Canis lupus familiaris: one gene and its partner. The protein of the gene in region 2 interacts with the protein of the main gene of each other region in a pairwise test. Links are inferred from orthologs where the notes say so. Each region holds a gene or a part of one and is shown on either strand. Other genes may lie near its edges.

The links.
Region 1: the proteins of SGTB (region 2) and SERPINI2 interact in binary tests that used the Homo sapiens proteins (3 or more experiments, as listed by UniProt). The two-hybrid records come from large-scale screens. The link is inferred for Canis lupus familiaris from reciprocal best matches to the Homo sapiens genes SGTB and SERPINI2.

What each region holds. Positions count from the first base shown.
Region 1 is NC_049255.1:32,597,272-32,600,771, reverse strand, and holds part of SERPINI2 (serpin I2), read left to right. Parts: intron 1-1,131; coding exon 1,132-1,362; intron 1,363-2,806; coding exon 2,807-3,001; intron 3,002-3,083; coding exon 3,084-3,276; intron 3,277-3,500.
Region 2 is NC_049223.1:50,639,680-50,643,179, forward strand, and holds part of SGTB (small glutamine-rich tetratricopeptide repeat-containing protein beta), read right to left. Parts: intron 1,069-3,500; coding exon 930-1,068; intron 826-929; coding exon 763-825; intron 1-762. UniProt on the Homo sapiens protein: Co-chaperone that binds directly to HSC70 and HSP70 and regulates their ATPase activity.

The DNA.
Region 1 (3,500 bases), on a different chromosome or scaffold from region 2:
ACAAAGATGCCTTATGCCTCTAGCTCTCCAATAAAATGCACACACACACACACACGCACACACACACACACACACACAGATGCCGTATTTCCAATGGACAGCTCAAGGCAAGTTCTCATTAAAACTTTTCTCTCTTTATTCAGTGGGTATCTTCTAATGAAGAACCATTTATGTTTTCTTCAATAAAGATTAATTGCACATACTCAACTTTCAAGTTATGAAAGTGGCATTTTTATATTCAGCTCAAAATGTAACAAAGGCCCCGAGTGAAACTTTGATTTGAAATATAGTTCCTAGACTTAAAATGACTGAGTCCCAGGATTAAGCCAGAAGGGGATGAAAAACATCGACACCTTCGGTCATGAATAGCCCCTGAACAAAGATCAAAGCTGAATTGTCTCCTAGGCACATACACCTTCCCAACAACAGTGCAGTCAGAATGAGACAGCAATACATAATAGGACAGTGGTGATTTTTAGCTGACTCTGGTGGCATCATTTGGCTAGTGGTAATAGTTGGCATGTTTAAAGATCTTTATTGTTCATGTAGACAGCCAAAGTATATACATTCGTGAACCTGAAGAAATAGGCAATTCTGATTCTTGCACATCTCTAGAGCTGCTTATAGGGGTTGCCTCATAAATTTCACAACATGGACAGGTGCCATTGCTCACAAGAGAGCAATTCTTAAGCTGGAATAAAAGCAATATTGAAAAGGATTGCTCATCACTGTCATACCCCCATCAGTATTCATTAGAATTCTCCTTCCATAAATATCACATGTTGTGCAAAGAATGAGGTTCTAAAGATAAATTTCCAACAAGTAAGAATGAGCTAAATTTGACTATAAAAAGGGAATTTCCTTCAGCCTGTTTAAATGCACATTCTTGTTTTTGACAAATTTCAAATTTACATGGACATTCTTTCTTCCTATATAAAAACTGAGTTCTTTATAAAATGCATATTCTATGAAGACAAATGCTTAAAATATTTATACTAACTCAGAAAGGACCGTTAGTTATACGTAAGGGTGCAAAAAATGGTGATATGAATCAGCGCTTAGAAGCAAAGCTGAAAAGCTGTTGTTTTTATGTTGTTCAATATGTCAGTATACATTATAATTATTTTTTAGGGGAAGAATTTTCTGTGCTGAAGTCATTTTTCTCTGCCATCTCAGAGAAAAAGCAAGAATTTACATTTAATCTTGCCAATGCCCTCTACCTTCAAGAAGGATTCACTGTGAAAGAACAGTATCTCCATAGCAACAAGGAATTTTTTCAGAGTGCCATAAAACTGGTGGATTTTCAGGATGCAAAGACTTCTGCAGAGACAATAAGTACCTGGGTAGAAAGCAAAACAGATGGTAAAGTTTCCCATTTTCATACACTCATTATTTGCCATTGTATTCACGGTTTTTAATATCCTAAGTAAGAATGGTTGAATATTTTCCTACTAAACTACGGCTCAGAGGGATCTCCTGTTTTGCCGCCCTGTTATTCAAATTAATTCTGAATTGTAAAACTGAGAGAAATTGTAAGCTGCTTTGAAAAGCATACAGAATTTTTGGGGGAGACACCCATTTACAGAATTTTTAATGGAAAACCTTTAATAATAATTTTTGTTTAAGCATAGGTTTTTAGCCTATGGCAGCAGAAATAATATCTTTGGCCAGGTAAAAATTGGATCTGTCAATTTCAAGTGCCTTTTTTCCCACATATACTGTAAATAATTAACACATCTTAGTTGGATGTGTTAATGTTTAATAATAAATGTTGATAGTCCTATCATAAACACGATAATTTCAACTTTAATTGCAATACAATCCAGCCAAAATTCTTCAGTGACTGTGGAAAGACACCGTAGAAAGAACACAGGCTTAAAGTCACTCAGATCAGAGTTCAAATCCTACCCAGTTCTAAGCTATGCCTCACCTAAAATGAGGATATTTTAAAAATGTTTCAGAGGTTATTTGAAGGTTTGATAATAATGTCTGTGAAATAACAAACATAAATTAGATCCTAGCTTAACAGTAGTTTGGTTCCTTGTTCATTTATTCTGCTACAAAAATCATGATGGCATAAGGTGCTACCATATTCCTTATAGGAAGTTTCACACAGGGGGGCATGGTTGAAAATGTGGGATGGATGGTTTGAGTGGCGTTCGCAGGTAAGTATCATTAACAGGACTCAAAATGAACATCCCTGGACAGTTCCATGGCGCTCGGTCATGCTTTTATCTCTTAACTGAAATAGCCATTGGACATAGAAATAACAGACTGGTTGTTAAAAAGAAGAAAATCATGCTAGCAACTCCTTTCTTGTCCCTTTCCCAGTGGGCAGTGGTGGTAGCCACAGTAGTAGGAGGTTTACCATTACCATTACTACACCAGTAGAAGGTGTACCATTAACTTATTACTTCTGATGGACCTGCTGGAAAAACTTGAGACAAAGTTTGAAAAACATCAATAAATATGCAGGAAGAGACATTCAGGTCTTGTTCTTTCTGACTGAAAAACGATTTACACAAATATTCTTGCTGGAGAGTCCATTATTAGTAGGTCTGTCCAGATTTGCCTAAGACAATCTTGTATCTCCTGTTTCCTAGTGAGATTCTCTTGGTACCTGTTTCTAAGTGAAATGTTTGAGAGTGCTCCCTTTTTTACTGTCAGAATTGCCAAGGTTAGGTAAAAAAGCACCCTGTTTATAACTGATCTGCAAAAGAAATTTTTGTTTTAATTCTATTTAAAGCAGCCCCACTGAACCACTCTTGCACATGTTTCCCTGTTTCGTCCTCCACCCCCGTCACAGGGAAAATTAAAGACATGTTTTCAGGGGAAGACTTTGGCCCTCTGACTCGACTTGTCCTGGTGAATGCTATTTATTTCAAGGGCGACTGGAAGCAGAAATTCAGAAAAGAGGACACACAGTTGACGAATTTTACTAAGAAAGATGGTGCAGCAGTCAAAATTCCAATGATGAAGGCTCTTCTGAGAACAAAATACGGTAATATGAAAAATCACTCTCCGAAGCATGATTTGGGGAATTGCCAAGAATATTTATTTAATATTTTCTTTCTCTGTTCCAGGTTATTTTTCTGAGCCCTCCATGAACTACCAGGTTTTGGAATTGCCTTATAAAGGTGACGGGTTTAGTTTAATCATCATTCTTCCCGCAGAGGACGTGAACATAGAAGAAATGGAAAAGCGAATCACTGCTCATCAAATCCTAAAATGGTTCTCTGAGATGCAAGAAGAGGAAGTGGAAGTAAGCCTCCCTAGGTTGGTAATGTCATTTTATTATTTGGTTCTTATGTTTTCACTCATGGAGGCATTTGAATAGCTGGCTGAAAGATAACAAATATTTGAATAGGCTATTGATGAGAAGAAAAATGCATTTGAAAATATAGCTCCACTTTATGGATACAAAGGCAAGCCTGAACATTGGCAGTATTGCTTTGCCATGAGGAGCACTGAATTTAAGTGCTCAATATTCCCCGAAATAG
Region 2 (3,500 bases):
ATTTCATCAAGAATGAGCCATCTGTGCATTTCAATGCAAACAAAGATACCGTGGATGCAGGGCACATTTTTTTTTGAAAGAACCAAAGATGAATACAAGTGGCACTGCTGCCTTCCAAGGGCATGGCATGTAGTAGAATGAATGGTTCTCAACCAGAAATAATCACTCAAGGAGCTTTACATGGCCATGTAACATCCCCGACCCACTAAATCAGTTTCCACAAACTGGATCAGAGCATGTGTGTCTTCAAAAAGATCCATGAGTGATTTTGTTGAAGGATGAAATACATACATATAAGGATTATACTAAAAGTTCAAATAAACTCAGGATAGAAAGGAAGCAGACCAAAAGAGGAGACCTTAGGGTACCGTGACAGTCAAACCACTCAGACCTCAATTACTAGAGATCTTCCTAGGGCCGCTTTCACGGAAAAGACTTGTTTTTAACCTTTTGATTTTCAGACCCCTTTGTCCATCGGATGAAAAATACAGTTCTCTCCCTAAAAAATGCATAGGTACACTTACATACAAATTTTTATATACAATTTCAGGGAATCCATGGGCCTCCTAAAGTCTCTCTGGGCTTTCTCACAAAGAGGTACACAGGCAGGTTAAAAACCTGAGCCAGAGCATTATATCACCCCTACCACCACCCCTACCCCACCCCCCACCACCAAAGCTCCCTTGTATGTTTCTAAAAGCCTGGGAACCATATAACGCTATGGAAAGACAGCCAGCAGAACAGAAAAGGAAATCTACTCACCATACTAATGAAGGCTGGATTATTTATTAAACTAGCCATGTCAAAGCTCAATCCAGTTCCTGTCTGTAAAACAATGATATTTGAGAATTATTTTAACCACTGCAATTTGATTGTAATAAATTGTGAATGACAGAAAATATTGCCATCATCTGTCGTCAATAACTTACAGGACTGGATACCTCTCTTAACTTCTGTTCTGCTATTTTCAAATTTGACTTGTAAGAATCATTTTCAGGGTCAAGATCTAACGCCTTTTGATAACTTGTAACTGCTTCTTCGAATTTATTTATGGCAGTGAGGGCCAGTCTGAAAAGAATAAAATAGAAGAGTATAAGACACATGATTAAAGAACATCAGGACATCACCAACAGTCAAACATCTGCCTCGGTAATCAATCTGAATCCACACTACACTTACTTTATCCACCGTACTATGATTCACAGGGATATCACCAAAATTCCTTCTAATTTCAAGATTCTGTAAGTCTGGACTCTCTCCATTCTACTTGCTGACAAACTTGGCCATCCCGAAACGTTGTCCCGTGAGTCATGAATTTAATGCTTAGAAATGAACCTTACCTACCTTTCAAATTTTAAGGTTAATATGTTAAGTAATCTGCCTTAGTAATGGCAAAGCTCCACAATGATGTGAGCTAACAACCTGTGGCCATTATAGCTCCATGATGCTAAAATCATTTTAAGGACTCAACTAGATGTGTGCTTCCTAATGTCCCACTTTCTTCCTTCTTCCTAACAGATACACTGAGCCACAATAAATATCAATTCACCATTTAAAAAAATAAAAATGGGCTATGGGGTATCAGTGGACTACTCCTGAAGAAGTCGTATTAACTTAAGTAGATAAAATTAGGATCCTTTACCACTCAACACATTATTAACCCAGGCACAGATCAAAGACTTAGTTATTAAATTTTGTTATCCTCTATCTAGTTAGAATTTATCAGAAAATTACTTCCCAACTATACAGTAATAGTATATATGGACAGATAGTATTGAGGGTTTTTATTTGTTCTGTTTTTTTTTTTTTTTAATTTTTTTTATTTATTTATGATAGTCACACAGAGAGAGAGAGAGAGAGAGGCAGAGACACAGGCAGAGGGAGAAGCAGGCTCCATGCACCGGGAGCCCGACGTGGGATTCGATCTCGGGTCTCCAGGATCGCGCCCTGGGCCAAAGGCAGGCGCCAAACCGCTGCGCCACCCAGGGATCCCTGTTCTGTTTGTTTTTAACAAATTACTCTATTTCTTTCTTGGATGACTTACCTCCCAGACCTCTGATCAAAACAAAATTCAGTGTCTAAACACAGAAAAATTCTCAGAACCTAACTGATTTTCTTCCAGTCAACAATAAAGATATTACTTCAGAGTAATCAGTTAATCAAGATTCAATAAATATTTATTGAAACCCTACCTTGTGAAGGGGAGGTAGGAGGGGGGATGGGGTAATGGGGTGATGGGTACCAAGGAAGGCACATGATGAGATGACCACTAGGTATTATACTATATGTTGGTAAATTTGAATTTAAATAAAATATTTAAAAAAACATTTCTAAACCAAAAAACCAAAAAAAACCCTACTGCATACCAGATACTATTTTATAGTTCACAAAGAGAAAGATGAAGTCCTTGAGGTTAAGAAAACTTCATCCTACCTGGGAAGATAAGCAATACACACACAAATAAAATCATAGTATTAAAGGGGAGCTGCTCAAAGACAGCCACAGTGAAAAGACCTGAGTGATGAGAAGAAAGCAGTCACTTGTAAATCAAAGGAGCATTCGAAACAGAAGACACTGTAAACACAAAGTGCTGAGAACAATGCGTTTGGCATCCTTAAGGAACCGGACAAGAGCTGATGAGGAAGCACAGAAAAGAGTGTGGAAAGATGATGTCAGGGAATAAAATAATCAGGAGCCAGACCATGTAAGACCACAGTCTGGAGTCTGGATTTTATTCTGGTTGCAATGGAGTGACAGATCTGATTTGTGGTTTAAACATTCACTCTGGGGGCGCCTGGGTGGCTCAGTCCATTAAGCCTGTGACTCTTGATTTCGGCTCAGGTCATGATCTCAGGGTTGTGAGATTGATTGAGCCCTATGTGCTGCGCATCTATGGAACTTAAGATTCTCTCTTTCTCCCTCTGCCCTTTCCTCCTTCCTCCCTCCCTCCCTCTCCTTCGCCCCATTGCTCACAAAACAAACAAACAAATAAAAACATTCATTCTGGCTTTTCTGCAGATGATCAACATGGGTATGGGTAGAATGGTGGCAGGGGGACCAGTTACGAAGCTACCGCAGTAGCCTAAGTAAGAGATGGTGATTTGGACTAGGGTTAGAAGCAAGATAGCATTCAATGCTTGAATTCAAGATATAATTGAAATCAGAATGGACAGGACTTGCTGATAGATTAATCCTGTCAGGCATAATAATAATGAAGGATAACTACTAGGCTTTTGACTTTCTGGCACTAGTAGGTAAATGAGGTACCATTTATTGAGATGGAAAAGATTTAAGAAAGTAACAAAAAGTTTGTTGGGGAGGTGCCTGGGTGGCTCAGTTGGTTAAGCGTCTGCCTTTGGCTCAGGTCATGAGCCTGGGACCCTGGGATTGAGCCCATGTCAAGCTCCCCGCTCTGTGGGGAGTCTGCTTCTCTCTCTCTCTCCCTCTGCCTGCCACTCTCCCTGTTTATATGCCCCGCTCTGTCAAATAAATAAATAAAA